Drosophila melanogaster: one gene and its partners. The protein of the gene in region 2 purifies or fractionates together with the protein of the main gene of each other region. This does not show direct contact. Each region holds a gene or a part of one and is shown on either strand. Other genes may lie near its edges.

Region 1 (7,704 bases), on a different chromosome or scaffold from region 2:
CGGTGCACTCACACTCTCTTTGGAATGTTCTCGCAGCTGGAAATAAATCGGGCTACAGCGAAAATCATTTATGTTTATACATATGTTACACAGGCAAAGGCGGCGTATCTGTGGCTCGGGGCAAGGGGGAGGGGGTCAAGTGACCGCATGTGTGTGCGGATGGGGTTTCGTTCCAGTGACGTGGCCATTGATGCTCCAAGAGCTGACGTGGACGCCTTTCAATTAAACAAATCACCTCAAATCAATTGGTCGTGGTGCCACATACAAAAGGAAGGCCCATCATTCGAGTCGGTTTATAATGCACTTTCTTAAGGTCTTAAGGGCTAGACAAGATTACAAGTTATTTGGCATGCGAAGTGGGAGATTCATAGGATCAATCTTAATCTCAGGGATTCTGGGTATCTAGACACTCTAGAACTCATCGTGGCGGGCCAAGGCCTCGCCGAAATCGGTGGCCTGGGAGCCGACGAAAACGTCGTACTTGTCTAGTATTTCCTCCTTTGTCAACTTATCATCGTGGTCCGCATCGGCCTCGAACAGCAGGTGCTTGGCCTCCGCCTCCGAATGATCGAAGTCATGGGGCGCAATCCACTGCTTCACTTCCTCCTCGTTCAAATAACCATCTTTGTCCAGGTCGCGATGTGTGGAGAACGCCTCCCTTTCGTTAGCCACCCACTCGGGCTCCTCGTCTTCCGCGCCCGTCGATCGGTACATGTCGCCAATGTACTCGTCCACCGAGATCTTGCCATCGTGGTCCTTGTCCAGATCGGTAATGGTCTCGCGCAGAACCACACCCTTCATGCTGGGATGGTCCTCGGGGTGCAGGAAGGCGGTAAACTCATCCTTGGTGAGATTGTCATCCAAGTCCTGGTCGGCCACCGACCAGCGGTACCGATCGCGTTTCAGCAGGCTCTTGTAGCTGACTCCTGTTCGAAAAAACAAATACAATTTGATTAGATTAATGTGATGTTTCCCGCCCATCAAAACAGTGATTTCCCTATCAAATTGATGCCTCTGCTTACAATGACGATTTGGGCTACATACCATTTTCCTCCTGTTCCTTCTCGTCGGGGCTCAGATCATCCATGAAGCCGTAGACAGTCTGCATGTAGGAATCCCAGCTTATGGTCTCATTGTTGTCCGGATTGTGCTGCTTCCACACGCGACCCACGTCTTCTTCGATGTAGCGCCTCTGGGTGTAGGCGATCCAGTTCTTTAGCTCCGCCAATGTGACTGACCCGTCCTTGTTCTCGTCGATTCGGTCCACAATGACGCCCAATCTCCGCCTGCTCTCCTCGGGTGTCAGGCTGTCGAACTTCTTGGACTCGTCCGGGCCCAAGAAGGCTTCGTGGTCAAACTGGGCATTGTGCTCGCCCCCGTCGAAGTGCCTGGGGTGCAGGGGGTCGTGCTCGAGCGGATTGTGGGGCAGCTCTTCCGGTATGCTGGAGGCACTTGCTCCACTTATCACCGCCGTCAGCGCAACAACAAGTAGCAGCATCTGAATTCGGGTTCTAGCCATTTCTCGTGAGCGCTCACGTCCGTTCGGTTCGGCAGGCAAACTGAGAATAAATCGTGTGTGATTGAGATATTTCGAAAACAACAATCTCTCTTGTTACTTTTCTAGTGCTGCCAGATTATTGGATAAGTGATGCCCAGTTGGCGGGACTTTTGAAAATCATGCAATTACCCCTGGGAAAGAAATTAAACTTAGTTAACCGTTTATTGTAAAAAACAATACAACTTGTGTATGTGTTAGATTGCATTTATTAAACGTCCTTTCTGTAAAGCTAGTTAAATATGGTACAAATAAATATGTGCAGAAATTTGAATTGAAGCGTTGGGCTAACTACAATATTTCACTTAAACTTATTTACATTCACACAGCTGCAGGATTCAGTGACCCAGTGAACAAACGTTTATTTGGGAGCATCCGCGCCGTCCTGTCCCAGAGAACTAAAGTCTCCCGTGTTGCACGAGATGCTGGGAATATCGAAGTTTGAGAAGCCCCGGTAGTTGGACACCTCGGGCTTCAGAGGGGATGGAAGCAGGACAGCTGTGCCGGGCACTTCGCTATCTATAAGGCTATCCGTTGTGCTATCCAGCAGACTGGTCTCCGGCAGAGGCGGCGGTGGCTTGGCAACTAGGCCCTTCTGCGCCAAGGGGTCGAATTCGTCGAGATTCAGCTTTGACTCGTCCGCAGTGCTGTTTTCCCCACTTTGATCCGACAAGTCGAAGTCGTAGTTGATATTGGTCAGGCCTCCTTGAAACTCGGAGCCCAGCATGAGTACGTCTGTGTTCGCATCGGGCACAGGCTCCTCCAAGAGCGAGACGGCATCAAACGCGGTGTAGTTAAAGATTGGAGAGGCGAAGAGGTGATCGGCTGGCTGAACGTTCTGCTGAAGTGGCGACAGACGGCCCATCGAACTCATGCTGGTATCCTTAAGGGACAATCCAGATTCTTTAGACGCCGCTGCGGGCTTTACCAACCCACCGGCTGCTGTCAGCGACTGGGAGGTCAATGAGCCGCCGTGCAGCATATTCGCTTGATAATGACCAGCCTCGCTTTCGTTGAGAAGGTGCGCCCTGGCTTGACCAATCAGAAAAGCGGGTGTTTTGATGGGCAGCAGGTTGAGTGGGGCCTTGGCAATCACGGTGTCTACTCGTTCCGTCACCTCTCTTTGGAAATCGATAAGCTCTTTTTCAAATGAAGTTATTCCAGAGCTTATCAGGGCGTTCCTTTTCTGCAGCATCTCCATTCGCTTCATGTTCTCGGATATCAGGTGAAGGCTCTCGCAGGCCAACAGGGCACTTTCCCAGGGCGTGCTGTAGGGCTGCTGTCCGGACATCAGAGCCTCGAACTCCTCGCTGCTGACGCCCAGACTCTCGCCATTCAGATTCTCTATGAAGGCGATGGCGGAGCACAGATTGGTAAAGTAGTAGCCACTCTCGCCGCTCATCAGCCGCGAAGCGTTTGTGAAGCGCGTAACGAAGTTGATGTTGCTGTGCAGTCGCACTGGATTTGCCTTAAGCACGACGAATATTAGGGCGGGTAGGAAGTCATCCGCACTGGCGGGTCCTCCAGTTGCCCGCTTCAGAAGCTCAAAGATGTGCCTACAGCAGCGCCAAGTGCACTGCAGCTTCTCCTGCGGCGAATAGTACGAATCTATGCCCACCAGCTCGGATATAGCATTGTAAACCAGATCCCTGGCCTCCGAGTTGACCTCGTCGATGCTGCAGTCCAGATGCTTGGCCGTAATCCAGCTCAGCTGGCGTATCCGCTTCTGCACCTTCACGTCACTGTCCTCATCGGTAGTGAAATAGGGACTGAAGAGAAATCTGCAAAAAAAAAAAAAGAGTTTCCCAGATAAAAATATGTACTCCTCTGATATCAACGTTCCGCTTGACTCACTTGTGGTTCTGCGTCATCACCACTTTCTCAAAGAAGTCAATGGCACTATCGCGATCCTCGTTGGTGGCTATCTCGAAGCTGGGATCGTTGTGCACAATGTCTGAGACTTTGGTGTAGGCGTTTTGAACCAAATCTGATAGTTCGTTGATGTTTTTGCCGCCATTTCCGTTCATATACTTGCGGATGTCGCTGTCCAAACGCTGGATTTCAAGCTTGAGTTTCCGCTTGCCATCGTCGGGAATGCGAAGTTGCCGCAATTGCAGTAGGAACTGGCCCTCCGTGGGATCCGGCACATGACCACGCTGTTGGGTAACTAAGGAATATCCAAGTATAAGCATTTAAAGGCAGTGTGGCTATGCAATATTACTTTTTTGGGCTCCCGCCTGCAGAGTTTTTTGCAGCACAGCGGTAAACTTTTTCTTTTGCAGGGTTCCCAAGTTGTCCTGCTCCTTGTCCGACGGCTTCCTGACCTGCTGCTCCACTTTTCCCTGGAGGTGCGCATGCTGTGGCGATCGGCGATCCAAGGTGGCGACCGAGGAAGAGGATCCAGGACCCGTCTCGCCACCCGTCTCTGTAAAGAACCACTTCATGACTCAACGCTCATCGGCTTTGGAGTTATATGCAAGCATTGTCTGGGGACCTACGCTTCAACTTACGCTTCAACTTCCGCTGCTTATCATTAAACTTTTCTCGGAAGCACATCGAGCACAATCCTTCGTTTTGGGGGGTTCCGTAAAACCCGCATCCTGAACGGCACTTGAGGTCCTGCTGGCCCAGCCGCAAAGACGGAGGTCGCGCCGCCGTTGACATCTCGGAGGTGTGGCTATAAAAATACAGCTCCCTTATCTGTGGGAGTCCCTTTGTTGCTTATTGTTTTCGTGACTGAATTGTGGAGATAAATAATTCTACTGCTGCCAGCGTTGCCAGATGGTCTTTTATCCAGTGGTGGGACATCGCTCAGAAAGTTAGAGATGAGCTGGTTCGCCGGCTTTAAGTAGCCGCCCATCGAATGGAACTAGTTCGCTTCGTACAAGGGGGATTTCCCTCTTTTGAATATAATTTTGATAAAAAAGAACGTAGTTCGCATATGACCTGTAAACCCACATACAATTAAAACACTATTCAGTTATGTTCCACTAAAATTGGATTTTAGCATATTTTATTCGTAAAGAAAATATTTAAACTGCAACTTAGGGAAATTTGCACAATTAGATCGAATACATGTAGTAAAATCGTGGTGTCCTAGGGAACATTTCAACACACATTCAATTCTTAGATGCACACAAACATTTTTAAAACCAGTTACACACGTATATCGACATAGCAAGTTGATAAAGTAGTAACATTTAGGACGGTTATACACGTAAAAAGAATGCATTTCTGGAAGGGTCGCTAATGGTAGTAGTTCACAACAGCAATTGGAAAAAGCTCAGAAAACACAGAGTTATGGCTTAGACTAGACTATAAATTTGCAAAGTTTTTTGTCCTAACTGCTCTACGCTACGTTACCGATCTTGTTCCCCAATGAAAAGTTTAAATCTGCAAACAAACCTTTGCATCGTCCAGCTCTCCTCGTAATTGACGATCCAATAATGCACTCAACTACTAACAACTCGACTAGTTCAACACTACCTCTACTTTATCTCTAGTTCTTCTAAATTTGTTCTCTCGTCTAGCAGTAAAAAGATTTGGAAAAAACCATTTTGTCTCTGTTTGTGTTTTGATTAGTCTTAAAAATTGCTAATACTATTTCGCTACTGTCATCAAAATGCAACCTTGCCTTGCCGTGCTCAACTACTATCGATAGTTTACGTATACTTAACATGATCGTTCTTGTTTTCGTTCACTTCCCATTTGCAATTCAACCGTTTCGAAAAAGTCTCGTGTATAGTTTTGAACTGGAATTTAACACTACTTATGATGTCTTTGGCTTTTGTTTTTGCTTTGTATGCGTTCAACTCTTACAGCTAACAATGTAATTATCTTTAACGCGTGTGTTTCAACATTATGCTGACTTTGGTTTTGGTTATAGGTTTTTGATTAAACATTCTTTGGTTTTTGATTTGTTCGTATCTGAGTGTATTCAATTCGCTACAAAAGAGTTGCATTTGTAAAAAATTCAAGTCTAACGATTTGCTTCAATAAATTCCTTGTTCCAATCGCTGATCAATTGGAATTATTTGGCTGATCTGATGACTGTGGTTCTTATTTTGTCTTCGAATTATGTATGAGTACCCTGTGTATTCAAAAGTTCGGCGTATAAAACAGAAAGTACAGCAAGTTAGAAATTGTAAGTTTCAAAAAGAATATGTCTTAACTTTCCATATATACAGTTATACAAACAAAACTCTTGACAAAACGAAGAAACAAAATGAAACATATGACTTTTAAACTATACAAACATGCTGTAATTAAATACTTATAAGAAAATAATCTTTTTTTTTTTTAATTTTATCAAATTGGTAGTTGAATCTTCCGACTGTGTTTAGTACTTGATTAATTCGCTAGGACTCTTCTAAAGACATTTCAGACATTTCTTCAGTGCCCTGGTTAACTGAAGTACTTCAGTCCTGCGATCAGCATAAACTTCTCAATAAACAACTCCGAGTCCAGGACAGCAATGTGCGCCGCTCGACCGATCAAAGTGTTGGCCGTGTGGGGCAGGGCATGGTGGACATCGAATCGGGCCAAAGTCAGTTCGGGCCTGGCCAAAATCGGAGCTATTATGTTGTGCACCATTTCCCTGAAAAGGAATCTTTATAGTCACGATTTTAACAAGGAGCCATTCCAATCGAACCTGTAAATGGTACCCAACGAGGAGCTATCCCTCATGGCAGCCTTGCAAAGCTCCAAGCGTGCCGAGTGCGCCGGAACATAGCGATCCTGGCTAGAACCACAGAGCAGGATGTTCTTGAAATGGTGCAGGGTGCTCCTCTGGCTCAGCCGGTACAGGAAACTGTTCCGCATATCGGTGGTATCTCGCATGCAGAGCTGCAGCAGTGATCCGGACTTCTTCCACTTCTGCATAAACCACATTCCTGCGAAAGGAGGCCCAACCCTGGGTTAATCACCACGCTTAAATGTATAAGAATGGGTATAGACTCACCCATGTTCACCAGCCCACTCGTATTATAGAGTGTTCCCAGGTGGGGTCCGGAGAGCGAGAGGAAGGTGTGCAGTCGCGGGAGCAAAGGCCTCATTTGTGGCCTAGCCAGAGCACTCCGCACAATTATCGTTCCCAGCGAATGGGCGACGAAGGAAATGCGAGCGGGATTAAGGGCGCAGCTATCGATATGGTAGAGTATCTCGGTAACCAGCCTAAATGATTTAAACAATGACATCAAATTTATATTGACTTCGAAGTGTATTTTGCTTACCGATCAGTCATGGTGTCAAAGTCCGAAAAGGTGTCTCCCTGGTTTCTCTCCGACATGAGGAACTCCAGATTGACACCGGGCAACCCCAGCTCCAGATAGGTGCGCACCAGTCGCAGATCCGCTGAGTTGCCATCCAGCCCGTGGACGCAGATGACCAGATGCATGCCGTTAGGCGAGAATGCGCGGTACTCGTCGCTGATGTAGAAGTATGGCAGTTCGGAGGCCAGCTGCACGTAGTCGGAATATATGCTGCCCTGGTACTTGATCTGCTTGCGGAACTCCTCGCGGTACTTCTCGAACTCCAGCAGGGAGATGCTGGGAGGAGCCTCCTGCACGGCGGAGGCCAATTGGCCCTTGCGCTTGTGCTTGGAGTTGGTATTGGAACCGTGGCCCTGCTTGTTCGTCCTCACCTGGCCATTGGAGTTCTCCTTGATCTCGTCCTGTTCGTGATCCAGACCATTCTCCAGAACATTACCATTAGCATTTATGGCGTGGGTCTTGCAATGGTGGTTAATCGAGTGATTAGGAAGGTTTTGGGGCCTCTTCAACTCCGCCAAGCTGTGGGACTTGAGCACAGGCTTGTTGCTGAAAATGGCCGGCGTGGAGATGGGACGCAGTGACTCGTAGATGTGATACACTGGATTATCAATGGCTCCAATGGGCTGGCGTTCCTTTAGGGGTGGTGGCAGATGGCAAGCGACAATCTTGGTCTTTCCCGTTGGGGGAAGTGCAGCAGCAGGAGGAGGAACTGGAGCTATGGGTGCTGCTGGAGCTGGCTCCGGTGGCGGATCACGGAACTCATCGGGTGGCGGCGGGGCCAGGACTAGCGCCAACTCCTGCTCTTGATCCTGGAACTGCTGGGGAGGTGGCAAGCACACTGCATCCAACGGTTGCATGTCCTTCAGACTTGTTATATCG
Region 2 (7,650 bases):
TTTAAACATAATACACTTTGCCCTAAACAGTTATCAGTCTAATATTGCAATCGGAATTATTCGATCCGAGCGAATCGCTCACAGCGCCTTGTCCGAGTTCCTCGCCTCCTTGGCCCTGCCCTCCGCCTCCGTTGGCTTCTTCAGCTGCACAATGTCCCAGGAGCCGCCCGCTCCGTTGGACTTGGAGCACAGATCCAGACTGATGAGGGCGCCCGTCGTGGGAGCAGCTGCCCGGAGGCAGGTGCCTTTGGCCATGTTGTAGACGGGACTGTTGGCGTTGCGGGTGTGCCGCCACTGCTGATCGCCGAGCATCTCGTGGCACTTGTTGACCGTGACCTGCGCATCCCCGGATGCCTCCAGGCACAGCAACTTGTCCAGCACAATTTCCGCCTTCTCCGTTTCGTACCACAGTTGATTGGGTGTCCTTCGGCAGGTTTGCAATTGCAGGGAGCTGCCCTTCTTCCAGAAACCCTTCACCTTGGGAGCCACCACGGCGGCACAGAGCTCCGTTCCCGTCAGTCGCAGCTGGAATGTGTCGACATAGTTACGTTTTCGCGAGTGCCAAGGCTGAAAGATGGGCGCTGCCGCCGACTTCTTGGACTCCTCGCCCGGCACATGCAGCTCTGGATAGACATTCTTTAGATACCAGGCAAAGTCCCTGCACTGCAGACGCTCCCTAAGCTTGAGGCGATCGCTAATGTCTCCATAATCATAGGTCTTGGGCACCTTTTCGTGCTTGAGATAGTAATCCTTGTACTGATCCATCCAGACGTGCGCCAAACGCAGTGAGTTCTTCAACATGGTGTTGGCTCCATCTGGCGAAGTGTACGGACGTCGTTTGCGGAATATGTGACCGACACGGGAGCAGGGAACGATCTTAATGGCGCCACCGCATTGCCAGGCTCTGAAGGAGATCTCTATATTCTCGCCACCCCATATATCCATGGCCATGTCGTACTCGCCCAGATGCTGGAAGTACTTCCTGTTCACGGCAAACAATCCGCCGGCCATGGTGGGCGAACGGAAGGGTCCGCGAAAATCCTCCGGCACCTTGAGCGTGCCCTCGGGCAGATTCTCCCAGCGGAAGTGCAGGCCCCAGTTGAATCCTCCGCGCACCAGTGGACTGGGCGTGTACTCAAAGGTATCAGCGTTGATCAGGTCGATGACGGGCACGGCCAGAGTGGCGTTCTCCGACTTGATGAGGCGCAGCAGCGGCTCCAGCCACTGCTGATTGACCTCGATATGCGAGTCGAGGAAGACGAGCACATCGCCCACGGCCTCGCGTGCACCAATGACCCGGGAACGAATGAGACCCTCGCGCTGCTCGTTTTTGATGTACCGCAGGTTGTCGTACTTCAGGCGGGCACGCAGATCCCCGTGCAAATGGAATTCCAATTCTGGAAGATCGCTGTGATCATCCACCAGAATAATCTCGCGCAGCAGGTAGCTGGGCGTGCGTTCCAGCACGGTCTTAATCGAGCGCATCAGCGTCATCTTGTGCTCGTTGTAGAAGCACATGACTATGGAGGCCTGGGGCAGATTTTCCGCTTCCGTGGTCTCCTGGCGATCGCACACCTTGTGCCGAGTGTCTGGGATCGCCCGGAAGAGTCCTATGTTATTGGACACCAGCGCGTTGAAGGCGTGATGCTTGTAGCCAATGTCGCGTATGTACTTGTCCTGCTTGTTGCGCACCACACCCAACAGTTCCAATTGCTCCGGATCACTGGGCGGCTTGGGTGCCGCCGGCGATTCGCCAGTGGTAATGCTGGCATTTGGAGTGCATCCGACGGTGACCCTGGCCTGGTAGCTCAGCTCGGCCCGTGGCGTTGCGTTCCCTTCGTCGATCCTCCATCCTGCCGAGCGGATGGAGCTGCGCAGGCTGTGCGAGTAGAAAAGCAGCGCCAGCAGCCAGACGACCGCCACCAGAAGGGTGCCCAGGCCGCAGGATTTGCACAGGAGGCGCTTGATTTGCATCATGGATCGAGATTAGATTACGTTGTGCGCTTCCCTGGCTACTTAAGCAGCTACTTTGTCACTTTCATGATGATCGGAATAAATTAAATTTAATTTGCATACCATGGCATTCGCACAAAAGCGCGCACACAGCGATGCCACCGAAGATGCTAGCTCAGAGTTTTTCCCGCTAAATTTCAAGGAAATCGAAAATAGTGTAGAATAGTGTAGTGTAGAAAACAAAAATTGGACTGATAACCAGTTAAAATGATTAATTAGACAACCAGCAACAAACAAAAGAACAGTATACGAAAAATCGTTGTTTGACTTACAAACTTTATTGTTCATAGTCATAATCAGCTGATTTCCAACCCAACGTTAGCATCACTAAATAAAACAAGAATGAAGTTATGCGCAAGTCAAAGTTGAGGGTATTCCACTAAATGGATTAAAAAAGCTTTTTACAAAATATTTAAGTAAATCGTAAGTACCCAAATATTTATAAAATTTAAATCTATTAAATGGAAATCCGGTAAATTATAAAATTATCCAGCGATTTGGTGTAGAATTAAATATAAACGAATGGTTAAATATGCAAATTAAAATTTAAATTATTTGAAAGAGAAATTCATTTCTATTGGTAGGGGTTTTATAAATACCATTTTATTTATTTCCTATTGCATTATGCCATTAATACATCGTAAATATTCATATAACATTGATCGTTTCCTCCAATTCTTGCACGCGACAACAACAAATACTCAACAAAAAATTAGGGAGATACAAAAATTCATACATATATATATTATATACAGGGATTCATCAGCCAACAAAAACATGATCTATATCTCAAACGAATTCATCTATAAATTGAGACCGAAGGATGGTGTTAGTGCGATAAACTTTTCGAAATTTCATGGTCAAAACTTTAGTTTGCGCCAACAAACATGTTTAATTTTCTAGTATTTATGCTTAACCGATACAATAAATGTTGCAATGCTTGCGTCTTATTAAGCGAAAGGACTTTATATTTTCTTTTTCTGTTTTTTTTTTTTTTTGTGGTTGCTGTCGCTGTTGTTGGCTCACACATTGATGCTTAATCGAATTATTTAACTACATACATTGGTTTTTGCTTGGGCATCGGTAGATTACGAGTCGGCTAAAAATAAAAGTTGATTTGTATAACTAGGTTTTGCGTAAAGTTAGGTTCCATCATTCATTTAGCACGAGCACTGATCCTTGGCGCCCGTAGCCTCGCTACTCAGCGAAGTTCGCGACGGCTGCGATGGCCTGTGCTGAACTCCGGACTCGGAGGCGTTCAGATCGAGCCGACCCTCCTGGATGTTCTGGTAAATCTTGCGTGCGGTCTCCAGAAAAGCCTCCTCCACATTCTGGCCACTGTTTGGGCGATAAAAAAAAAGATAATCAGTATATGCTCAAACACTATGCTTCCAGTTGAAACTCACGTCATAGCGCTCGCTTCGAGAAACATTAGGCCGTTCTCGTCGGCAAACTCCTTGGCCTCCTCGTAGGTAACCTCCCGAGTGCTCTCCAGATCCGATTTGTTGCCAATGAGAAAGATCACAGTGCTGGGATTGGTGAGATTGCGAGTGTCGGTAAGCCAGCTGCTCAGGTGATTGTACGTGGAGCTGGAATGGTCAAGTTGTAAAGCAATTTCTCAAATAGTAGCTTGCTTCGCTTACCGCCTGGTAATATCGTAGACCATCAGCGCACCAGCTGCTCCACGGTAATAGGAGCGTGTCACTGCCCTGAATCGCTCCTGACCCGCTGTGTCCCAGATCTGTAGCTTGATCTTTTTGTCGTCCACCTCAATGATGCGTGTGCCGAACTCCACGCCAATGGTGTGAGGACAATTGGCCATGACTGCAGGACGGCAAGTAGAGATTAGTTCTTATTACATACATTATTACTCAGCACAGTCTACTCACATTTCTTCTCGGTGAACTGGTGGAGCAGGCAGGACTTGCCCACGCCCATGTCACCAATGATGATGTATTTAAAGATATAGTTGTAGTTGTATGGCGCTGCAGTCATGTTGGGACCTAAAAAGCAAGCGAAATTATTATTATTATTACATTGCAGAGTCATTGAGTATATAGAATATTTCACACATTTTTCAATAAAGTAGTCTATGCGTTCGTGCAGTTTGTTCACCACGCTGCGCACTTTGCTCATCTTGACACCGGCAGAAATGAACTCTGACCCAATCAAACAGTGTTAACTACTACTATCAGCTCCTCATTTGAATGTCCAACCGTAGTCGCTGCTTATCAACAAACCGAGGCGCTGCATTAATTTGTTCTGCGTCGACACCACATTTTGTTCCCCTTTCTCGAACTGGCCCCGATATTTCTTTTTAAGGCCTGCTTGTGTTTGAACAGCCGACCGGGTTTGTTTGCCTGCCAACTGAAGCCAAAAAAAAAAAAAAATAAGAAAGAGGCAAGCTTCAAGAGCGGCGGGTATATCCACTTCATGCCACTTGACTTTGTCCATTCGCAGTATCCGTGTCGTTCGAAAGCCTTTGATTTGTCCGCAGTTAAGGGGCGCTGAAGAGAGTGAATTGAACCCTTCGCCCAAGCTGAAAGCGATTTGGATCAAGGTCGCCGAGCAAGCAATCGTGGGAATTCAATTATTAAGAGCAGTACGCGCGAAGTTATTCATCAAGTTAGTTTGTATTTAGGGTAATCATCCTGCCTTACTTCATATGAATGAATTTCATACAAAAGAATGTGACTTAGCAGCATATAGTGTGAAAAGATGAGTATCAATTATGGATTCTTAATTGCTCATACTTAAATCATCAAATACAGTTATAATCGCTTATCATTGCTTGTCAAAGTGACAAGTGCATATCAGTTTAATAGGCTCTATGACGGGCAGTTTAGACTAACTAAGTAGTAGGTCTCGGTCTCGAGTCTTATCAGTCAAGCGCCAAAGGCCAAACATCAGTGGAGCAATCAATGGAGGCGAAGTACATATGTACTTATTTGCAAAATGTGTTGAATGGAAGTGGATCATCATTGCCCCTCATAAAAGGAACACAGCGGCGCACCCATAACAGGGAAAATAACGAAAGGAGTATGAGAAATATATATTTATACACAGACGAAGTATGTATACCCTTTGGCAAAAAATCTTAAATATAAATATACTTTTATAAATGTGCGCTTTATATTCCATTTCTAAGATATAACTGAATACGATTTGATATTTGAGTATCTACAAATAAGCGCACATCCATTCAAACTAATAAAATAAGCCCGCATTGAAGACAACAACGCAATAAGACACAACAAAATGAAAAAGAAATATATTAATAACTGATAACAACTACTAAGAAAACTTCTGATTTATTATAATTTTTTATTCATGCTCGCCTACATTTTGAAAAAACCTTGTTTGCATAATTCATATAATAAATTAATATATAAGCACAGGTAAATATTTCTATGATAACTCATACACTCATATAATAATCCATCTTATAAAAACTAATTTAGAGTATTTATTTATAGCGTATACTAAACAAACTCCTCACCTACCGATTTTTAAGTAGAGTGGCGGCCGTTTTTGCCCCACCATCCCCTAAAAATTCAAAAAATAAATTATACACCATAAAAACCTGAAACATCCCCAGAATTAATCGATTTTTGTAAATCATATTTATTTTCTTAACTTGGTCACAAAACAGTAACTCCCCATTGCAGGGTATCAAAGCAATCAGGGGGTGTATACAACAACAATGGAGTGCTGCTGCCTAACGACAAAAACAAGAGAGAGCGAGAGCACAAGGGAAAGTTGCGGAGCACCCACAGCTGCACTGCGTCACCCCTTCGCAGACGGTTTTCCATTTCGCATAATTTAATCAGTGTTTAATTGGCTTAAGGAAAAACAACGAATATTACTCACCGTTTTAGATCACTTTAGTTTTAGTCCACCTTAGGGAGCGAACGGAATGTGTAACGTAGGGCGGTTACGCAGAGCGGGGGGTACTGTGTGTATGTGTGCGTATTGTTGTTTGGCTGTGCGGAATTCGATTGCAATTTTTGGGCAATTTGGCGATGCAAAATGCAGTTCACTTTCGTGCTAGCACGCACACTGGCTTCGCGGGGTTGCGGGGCTGCACCGAGAGGCAATTATTGCGATTATTTTCAATTGGTAGGTCGATGCAAATCAGTAGTCTTTTTTCACTGCTTTTGCGTTCTCTTGTTTTGCTTGGTTTCCTGCGGTCACACTGAGCAATTGGCAAGCCAAGGGTCACACTGCCGCGATAGGTGCTTATCGCAGCCAGATGCTATCGACAATCGTGTCTATCGATAGAGGGCGCACGTGTTGCGGACTTCGTTTGTTTATGTTTTAATTTTGAGCAAAAATCGTCCCTCAAGATGTTCGTAAACGAAGTTAACGATGTGAAGATCTACAACCTGAGCGCCGGCAAGTCGGTGCCAGATGTGAGTAGCAAGATAAACCCGTTGCCAAGCAGTTAACTCATGAGTATCTCCTTCACAGTGGCTGACGGATCGGCGAAAGCGGTCACAGCTCATGAAAAAAGTGGACTCCCGGAGACAGATCGAGCTCATCCAGGACTTCGATATGCCCGGCGTCTGCACCAGCATCCGCATGAGTCCCGACCAACAGTACATCCTGGCCACCGGCACTTACAAGCCGCGCGTCAAGTGCTTCGAGGTGTCCAACCTGTCTATCAAATTCGAGCGCTGCTTCGACGCCGAGGTGACCACCTTTGAGGTGATTAGCGACGACTACAGCAAGATGGTGTTCCTGCAATGCGATCGCTATGTGGAGATCCATGCGGCCCACGGGCGGCACTACAGACTAAGGATACCGCGCTTTGGACGCGACATGAAGTACCACAAGCCCAGCTGCGACATGTTCATCGTGGGAGTGGGCAGGGTAAGAACTGAGGTCTATCTAATGTCTAGTTTATTCTAAAGATTTGATTTCAGGACATTTTCCGACTCAATTTGGAGCGCGGTCAGTTCCTGCAACCCTTTGAAACGGATGGCAGCTGCCTGAACGCCTGTGAAGTGAATCCAGAGCACCATCTTCTGGTAGCCGGTACCAAAGAAGGCACCGTAGAAGCCTGGGATCCACGTACCAAGCAACGATGTTCAACTTTGGATGTAGCCATGAAGTTGCCGGGCGTCAAGGAGTTTCCATCGGTCACGGCCCTCAAATTCCGGAACGGCTTGCACATGGGAGTGGGAACTGCTTCGGGACACGTGCTGATCTACGACATTCGCGCCAAGCAACCGTTGCTGGTGAAGAATCATCTGAATCGACTGCCCATCAAGCGTCTGGCCTTTAATCCGGCTCAGAATGCCGTCTATAGTTTGGACGAGGCTACACTGAAGCTGTGGGACGAGCAGACAGGCAAGCAGATCGCCTACGTTGAGTCGACTTCGTCATTCAACGATTTTTGCACCATTCCCGACACGGGCATGTTCTTCGTAGCCCAGGAGGATGTTAAGATGATGACCTATTATGTGCCTGCAATGGGTCCAGCACCCCGATGGTGCTCGTTCTTGGATAACCTCACCGAGGAGATCGAATCGGAGGTCGTGGAGAATGTGTACGATGACTATCAGTTCGTCACAGCGAAGGAGCTGGCTGAATTGGGAATGGAGCATCTCGTTGGCAGCAATCTTCTTAAGGGTT
Region 3 (8,328 bases), about 14 Mb from region 2:
TCGGCAGATGCCAGTACGCTTAATCTTTCAACTGGAAGCGAATCGGGAGCGGAGGAACGGAACGAATGAGTATTGCGCAGATCCGAGCGCCAGCGCTAGCAGAATGACACGGCCCATACTAAGGGCCGGAGAAAATCGCGTAGAGGAGAAGCCAATCCGGCCAATACATGCAAGTCACCGGAGCAGAAAATCAACAACAGAAAGATGATGAGAAACCAGCTGCAGATGCGGATGCAAACGAGATCGAGGCGAAATTTAAATGCTAGGTTAACTGTTACCACTAGATCCCTTAAGCTTAAAGTTGTGTAAAGTATAAGAACCATATATAATCTATATATAGAGATTAGGAGCCAATTTGGAGAAAACGGATTTGGGTTTGTCTCAACGCCATAAAGTTCGACACTGCTGCAACTCCGTCTGAACTGGAGGGCAGAGCGCCTTACCCATGACTTACTCAAGTTTCATCTGCTGCTTATATGGTGCTTGATAAGTCAATAGTGTCCCTTCCTCTGGCTGCTTAATTATTTATATAATTACGAACATAATTAAAAAGCGCTTATAATTTAATTGTAACAAGAGAAACAAAGTGCTGTTGCACGACGAGGATTTTCCGTTTAAATTATTGCTAAAACGTATAATTGATAAGCGACAGAAAAATGTTTAAACAAAACACTATCCATGCATAAAATGTAGAGACACATATACTTGGGTTTCTGGCGCTGTCCTGGCACATGCAGTCTCTATACATATATAATACCTGTACATAATTCATAATCTTAAAATGACTCGTATTGCTTAACTGTTTTTAATATAGTAAGGCACCATGTATTCTCCTCAAACTAAACCATTTTCCACACTTCCATCCCCAATATGTTGTATACTGAACTCTCTATTCTTTATGTGTGTCCCCGAAAGCTGCGTGTAATTTTGATCATTTTAATTCTGTAATTAGTAAATGTGAAAGGATGGAATGCTAATGGCGCAAATCAATCTTTCAAGCGTATATTTTAAACTCTTGTATTTGTAATTCGTATGTTTTATTATACACTTGTGTGTCCCATGAACCACCGACACCAACATGCAAGTCCTGGCGCGTAACTAACAGGTGGGAAGTGTTTATTGAAAAATAGAATTTTTTAATTAAATCAATTTTGTTGTAATTGAGAAGCCCGAGAATATGAATCTTGCACGCTTGATGAGCAGCAATGCAATATTTAGGTCATTTTGTATAATTATTCAGCTGAGTAAATGAATTATGGACAAATTTGATCCGCACTTTATGAGAACAATTTATTTTGAGACGTTAACAAGGCACACAAAAAAAAAGCAAAACAAACAACCACATATATTGCATACTTAATTTGTAAGTATTACTCGTAATTAAAATTATTATATAACTGCAGAACAACAAACAAAAGCAACATCAACCAGAAGAAGCAACAACAGCAAGAAACACCCAAGCATCAACTATTGATATTGATGATAAATAAATATATAAAAAATAAATTTTAAAAATTACATTAACATACGATTTATTACTGAGCTCCTCGATTTTTAGACGTGTTAAGGTAGCCTGGTCAAGTCTGCGATTCGTATGCCCTTAACGAAACTTTTCCGCAAGGCATTTGCCTTGATCACGCCGTACCGTTCCAGGATATGGCCACCCGAATACAAATGGCAGTCAAGTTCTTGATGGATTAATTCCGAAATGTATCCTTAAAACAGCATATAAAAAGCAATGTTCTTTATGTGTGAATTTTGGAGTTGTATTTTAGATCTTTTTGCTATGCATTTGTAATGTACTTGTATACGGATGTATATTCACAGTAATTGACTAAACTTAAAAAAAAAGACAGGCGTGTTGAAGTCCGATAAAGCAAAGTGATACCTAAAATGTTTTGAGTTCACAGGCACGAGAACTAATTTCTTTATATAATTAGAGGTGATCGAATATAGGATGAGGGTGTTTTGGTTTTGAGGTGAGGAAGAGAACTTACAATAATTACAAAAAAGTACAAATGTATAATATACAATATATAAATCAGTGTATCCGCTTGGCCCGCCTCGCTTAGCTTCGATGCGAGAGTAAACTTTAAGTCTTATAGTCTAAGCTAACACTGCTCCAATGTTTTGTTTACCAAAATATGATTTTTTTTGCGGACGCTTACGGGCGACTCGTGTTAAACACGGAGAAACAGTCAGATTCTCGATTGATCTTTTTTGTAACAGTGAATTTATATGAGCCACAGTATTAATAGATACGACCCACAGTTTGCAACCGCAAATATAATCTAGTTAGGCAACCATCTTGAAGGGCAGCGTAATTTGCGCATACTTTTCTGTGGGCTATTGGCTTTGTTTTTTCCAGGTGTCCATCGTTTTTATTCCACTTTAATTAGTGGAACTGAAGGAAGAGGGAGCGTTCGCAGGCCTCCTCAAGCAAAGCTTGCTGCCTAACCTTCTCTTCGGGAGTGAGCTCTTTCACCAATTCGTCGAAGCCATCGTCCGAGTAAGTAGGTTCCTCATCTACCATGCCCCCATCAATCTCTTCACCAGCGGCTGCTGGCAAGAGTGGTTCGCCAATGATGCTACGTATGTCATTGGGCAACGTTTCAGAGCCCTTGAGCTGCAGATAGATACCCTCAGCTACCTGCAAGGTTTTTTGAACATCTATGTTTCCAGACAGTTCGTTTACATGCTTCAGGATTTCTGTGAACTCGTACTGGCTGTCGATGATCACTCTAGTCTCTTGATCGAGGATGGCCACCGAAAACAGTAGGTGGAAGTTGGGGCAGGGTAGCCGAGTCCACAGACATTCCCATAATTTCAAAACGTCCTCGCTGTTTAGCTCCCGCTTATACCAAACCAAGAGCCATCTGAAGCAGAAGTACATGTTGTCCGAGTCGTGGGATCTCATGTAGTTAAATAGCGGGGCATTGGCAAATTCAATAAGGCGACGAATCTGGGCGAACTGCGTTTTCATGCCCGCCTGGTCTATGTCAAAGTTGGTAAACACCAGCTCCATGAAGCCCACAAAGCACCAGAAGGTGTCCACTTCGTTTACCTGGATCTCCAAAATGGGCGCAAGCAGATCGGACATACCCTGAACATAACCAAGGTCAAAGTTATACATCACGTATGTCATAAGGATACCCTGGAGAAGGGTTAGATTGGGATTATCCTCTCCGGCAAAGAATTGCAAAGAGCGATCTGTGCGTTTCACATCCTTTTCAATCTGGCACTTGCGCTCCCGGTAGCCACAGAAATTCGCCTCCTGGGTCGTAGTCATAGCAAGCCACTGGGCCTTCATGTTGTAGTACTCAATAGACTTTTGCTTACGACGCTCGATCCGCTCCACATGAGTATCCGACCAAAGGTAGTAATTGAGAAGGAACTTCCAAACCTCTGGCCGCAGGCTCTGCACGACGCCGCCGCGGAAGATGAGCTCCTTGATTCGGGCGCTATCGGAAATTCGGCCGTCGGGCGTCTGAAACTCTAGCCACTGCGTCTCGGTTAGGGGATGACCTGTCCATTAAAAATATATTAATAAACTCATGTTCGGAACCCTAAGAATTATTTCTATTAGTAAATTCTTAAGCTTTTTAAGTGTCAAGAACTCTCTTTTAAGAATTAATATCAACCCACCTCTCTCCACCCGCTGGCGATCGGGCAAGTTGTTAACTATTTTTTCGTCCTGGGCATTAAGAGTTTCCAGCTCGCTGTCGGCGGGAGACTTCTCTGCACTGCCCCCACGAGACTGTCCGTTTGAGGAACAGGCACTATTGGTGCTGCCACTTAGCCCAATTATTTGATAATTGTCCGGTGAAGTCTGCCGATCGCCAGAGATCAAGACTCCCGGCCTAGATTTGGGCGAACGCTGGAACGGAGGCTGTACGTAATCGGGAATGTTGCCCAGGATTCCGGCCAGCTTGTTGGGCAGCCAGCTCTCACGTGGCAATTGGCTTGCCTTAATCTGGCCAATGTCAAGTTCAGCAAACGTCTTTTTCAATTTTTGGTTCTCGGTGGTCAATATGGCATACACCTCGCCGCCACTGCGACTAGTCTCGGCGTTCTCGATTAGGTGCTGATCGCGCATGGAGCGCACAAATAGGTCTGCGTTTCCATGCTGGAAAAAGAACTCGCTGTGGACGCCATTAGCCCCTTTCCGCATAAAACGGATCGTCTGTCCGCGATGGCGCACCTCTACAGAAGACAAATCTTCCAGTTGGGCACGCATGACTCGCGAACGGGTGGTCGCTCCACCGCTCGGTTCAATGGGTCTAGTGTTGAAGGCACGGCACTCGGATGTGGTGCGTGTTCGCCCGGAAATCCTGTCTACCAGCGCCCAGTCTCCCTGATCCTGGCTGTCGTCCGCAATCATGATACTGTCATTGGGCTGCCACTCGAGCAACAGTCTCCTACGGGGCATTTCCGCGATGGATCGCGAATATTCCACCAAGGAAAGGGAGCCGCTGGTGTTCAGATCCGCGATGTGCTCCGCACTGGCTTTCTTCAGAAGCACGCCGTCGTGGGTGAAGAGGATCTTTGGATCGTGTAACGGAATAACATAATGGCAGTAAGGAAGGAACATCCATGAGTCAGGTGAAAAACGAGACACTTACGTTTCCCGTTCCCTGCTGAGGCAGATTCTGCACGTCCTCCTCCACAGAAGACAACTGCGACTCGTTGAAAACGCCCAGCTGCACCTGGTGACAGCGGTCATATCGCACCGATTCGTCCATGGCTGCCGGCAATTATGTCTTCTTGTATTATAGTTCAAATTAGCCTGTGCTATTACGTTTCAGATATAAACAATTGTCCCACGAAGGTGCTAAATTTTACATGTCAGCGTTTTGTATGGGGGTATTTTATCACCGAGGTAAAAATGGCCACATTCCGTGACATTTTTCCATCGGTGTGGCAGCCTTAGTTTACAAGAAGTCTGGCAGCGAAATTAGTCAATTGCTATTAGAACTGCAAACTGCTATTAGCCAATACTTCATCGTGTTTCCGTTCTCGCAGGGTCTGGAATCTCTTTCTTTTTTATGTCTTTTGCAATTTGCGGACCATATGATAATTTACTTGGATAAGGGGCCAGGCGAACCAAAAAATATCGTATCTCTAGAATTCCTCGAAACGGCGTACGCTTTGCTCTGCTCTCTAGTCTGCAGTTCAATTCATAATTAGTTTGTATAAAAACTTGTAATGATTTTATCCTGTCCGCCTACCCCGCATAATCACTTCATAACATTTCCAATCGAGAGTCAAGTAATTCGCAGAGCAACAGAGCACGATCAATTTAGTTTCTCTCGACTCTCGTCGATTTCACCGAGAACAGAGATCATTTTAAAATAAGCAAACATATCTAGTTGTATTTTGTAAATAGGTTAAATGAATCCGTCTTATTTGATAATGATCTTCGTTGCCTCTTCTGGGTGTTTTGAAAACTCAGAGTTTAGTTCGCCCGAGAACGTCGGACAAAGCACAAGCACTCGACAATTTTAAAATTATAAAATATAATGACACATTATCAAAAAATATAAGCCAAATATAGGTGGGTGAAGAACATTTTAGAGCTAAGCTAGAATAAAATAGCTTAAATTTTCCAATACATATACGTATATTCCAATTTTAATTCGGTGCGAAAAAACAAGTCTATAACGTTAAGTTCGAGTTATATAATTAATGTTAGCAAAATGGCCTAAGAATGTCAACAAATGCGATGCATCTCCTACGTAATTGGACTTTTCCCAAAGTTTCCAGACGTTAATAATGTAGTAACTTTACATTTTAACTTGTGTGAGTTTTGGCACTATTTGTCATTGGCATTATTTTTTTGCGGATTTTATCAACGAATGAACAACATGAACAACAACCTTATTGCGAGCAGTTGTGGACGAAAAAAAATCCCTTAACAGATTTCTACTTCTGTTACGAAAAGTAAAAAACTCTCATGATGGTTGTGATATCACCATCTGGCTCTCGAGCTCTCCTGCTCTGAGATTGGGCAAACAAAAATATTTATTTCGTTATTTTGAGAGCAAGAAATATCCACAGAGCAAAAAACATGAAAATCGGTGCGCCAGAAATAGCGCCACCCACTGAAAGTTCAAAAACTAAATTGACTTACACGGTATTTTTAACAGAGATAGCGATGTGTGCGATTCTGTGTCAGTTCTTTAAATTACTTTCCTTGTTTTCAGAACCTCATGGACAAGTCAACGCGGCCTAAACGAAATCGTCGACACAGCAGGTAAGATTTGAAAAATTGTTTTTGGGATGTAGTTATTCTTTTTGCGTGCTTTTCCAGACGAGCCTGGCCACCAGAGGAGGAGTTGCATCCAGCATCCCGAGCTACAAAGAGATTATTTACTCCCGACATTAAGAGGATGCTAAAGGACTGGTTAATTCGTCGCCGGGAGAATCCCTATCCTAGCAGGGAGGAGAAAAAACAGCTTGCTGCAGAGACTGGACTTACTTACACTCAGATTTGCAATTGGTTTGCAAACTGGCGAAGAAAGCTTAAAAACTCGGAGCGAGAGAAAGCCAAGAAATCCTGGGGCCATCTGATCAAAAATTACAATCACAATGCAAGGGGTAATGTGGAACAATTTAGCATCTCGTCGGAGGATAGCATTTGGGAGGAGGAGATGCACTCATGTCCTGCGGAGGATGACGAAGGCGACGATAATGAAGAGTTTTCCAGCCACAGTACTGGTAGCGATGGCAATGCCAATAATGAACCTTCATCCCCATACAAGCCGATATTGTTTGTAGGATCTGCAGGTCTGACCGAGCGGATATCAGCACAAACAGGGGGTAAGACCAAGTACAAGCATCAGATGATGGAAAAGTATATGCGAGATAGTTCCACGGCAAAAACGACCAGTCAACAGGGTACGCAACTCAACAAGTGGCTGGAAAGTGCAGCAAAATTCACACCGGACAGGAACAATTATCACATCGAGTGGAATATGACCAGGTAAGGCAATTCGGGGCTGGTATGGTGAATTTTGATAAATAAAAATCGATTCACTTTAGGCAGAAAGCTAGCAGTAATAGCAGTTGTGGACAAGCGATCTTTACCACAGATGTGTCTGGGGCTGGTCGTGGTGGACGCTGGATGCTTCATCATAAGGACGAACTGGAAGCAGCAGAGGCCTTAGCCAACCTCGCCTTCAACTGCAGGCAGCGCTGGCACCATATCTAAAGACTGAAGACTCCGGAACTGACGCCATCATTCCAGCAGAAGTTTCAGGCCCCGCTAAAACGTGCAATCTAGTCAAGTGGGCTTCTTCTGGTTTTCATTTTCGAACTTTACAGTACAATACTCACTCGTTACATGATTTTCTTCAAGTTTAAAACCTTTTAGCTACACTCATTTAAATTATGTGATAAACTACGACGATCATATTCATGTAAACGTGAAAACCAGGTTGCGCCGAGAGTTAAGAATTACTACAGCTAGTTTAGAGTGAAAAACAATTATATAATTTTTGATTTCTTGTTATATAACAAACTTGACTTTTTTGACTTCTACGTAGACTTTGGCGTTTCCTCATTCATCTGGTTTTTAGCATGGACATCAAGAACTTGCACAAAACTGTTCTGATGGGCCTGCAGTTGCTGAATAAGGTGGCCAGGTGCTTGACTAAGGGTCTGGACAAGTTGTGCCTGGACCGCGTGCAGGCCGGGCATCTGAGCGTAGGCCACAAGCTGGTTCCTACTCAGCATGGTCTCCTCCACGATGCCTCCCAGCAGGACCATTTGCGGCACCCTGCGAACGATTCGTAGCAGTGCGGCAGTCTTTTCCGGGTCCGGTGAGAAGACGATGCAATGATTGGAGTGGAACAGGGGCACAATCGCTTCGTATCGAGTATTCTTCACCGCCTGTTCGATGATCTTGCTGCCGTAGGACTTGAGGTGCAGGTTCTGCTTGTGAAGCTGAACGCGCACGCGGAAGATGTCATCGGCGGTTATAGAACTTAAGTGAAAGAAGGCAACCAGTCGGGAATGATCCAGCCAATTCCGCACCTCTCGTGCGATGATTTCGTTGTATGGATTCTCCTGCTGCTGTTGCGTGCGCTCCGCACGCGTTTTGAAGCAGCTCTTAGCTTTTGGGAGTTCCGGATATTTCGGCTGCGTGACTGCGACTACCCGGGCCCGCTCGTAGTGCGGTGCTTTCGGCCGCTGTATATTGATCTTACCCCTAAAGCGAAGAAATTGTAGCGCAGGAGTACTGCTCTTAGCCAGGGAAAGGCCTAAAATCATTTACACATCAGTAAAAGCTTGTACATAGATGTTACATGTTACACAACAGGCCAAGCT

Evidence for each region.
Region 1: the proteins of Rab14 (region 2) and Rabex-5 purify together in Drosophila melanogaster (affinity purification with mass spectrometry, with the first as the bait; one large-scale study listed by BioGRID). This does not show direct contact.
Region 3: the proteins of Rab14 (region 2) and Tbc1d15-17 purify together in Drosophila melanogaster (affinity purification with mass spectrometry, with the first as the bait; one large-scale study listed by BioGRID). This does not show direct contact.

Annotation. Positions count from the first base shown.
Region 1 is NT_037436.4:1,292,541-1,300,244, reverse strand, and holds Rabex-5 (Rabaptin-5-associated exchange factor for Rab5), read right to left. Parts: upstream 4,333-7,704; 5' UTR 4,220-4,332; coding exon 4,066-4,219; intron 3,981-4,065; coding exon 3,777-3,980; intron 3,723-3,776; coding exon 3,410-3,722; intron 3,337-3,409; coding exon 1,917-3,336; 3' UTR 1,748-1,916; downstream 1-1,747. Other genes in the region: scf (supercoiling factor), read right to left, coding at 412-926, 1,045-1,519; CG32333 (uncharacterized protein), read right to left, coding at 5,960-6,152, 6,207-6,447, 6,516-6,727, 6,787-7,704.
Region 2 is NT_033779.5:14,353,707-14,361,356, reverse strand, and holds Rab14 (Rab14), read right to left. Parts: upstream 4,317-7,650; 5' UTR 4,150-4,316; coding exon 4,086-4,149; intron 4,077-4,085; exon of another isoform or gene 4,017-4,076; coding exon 3,903-4,016; intron 3,838-3,902; coding exon 3,657-3,837; intron 3,603-3,656; coding exon 3,420-3,602; intron 3,352-3,419; coding exon 3,174-3,351; 3' UTR 2,593-3,173; downstream 1-2,592. Other genes in the region: Pgant35A (polypeptide N-acetylgalactosaminyltransferase 35A), read right to left, coding at 79-1,977; l(2)34Fd (lethal (2) 34Fd), read left to right, coding at 6,360-6,425, 6,484-6,885, 6,939-7,650.
Region 3 is NT_033779.5:203,926-212,253, reverse strand, and holds Tbc1d15-17 (TBC1 domain family member 15/17), read right to left. Parts: upstream 5,076-8,328; 5' UTR 4,743-5,075; coding exon 4,623-4,742; intron 4,544-4,622; coding exon 3,646-4,543; intron 3,526-3,645; coding exon 2,396-3,525; 3' UTR 1,748-2,395; downstream 1-1,747. Other genes in the region: kis (kismet), read left to right, coding at 1-69; CG11617 (uncharacterized protein), read left to right, coding at 6,210-6,253, 6,311-6,982, 7,042-7,210; mRpL10 (mitochondrial ribosomal protein L10), read right to left, coding at 7,537-8,261.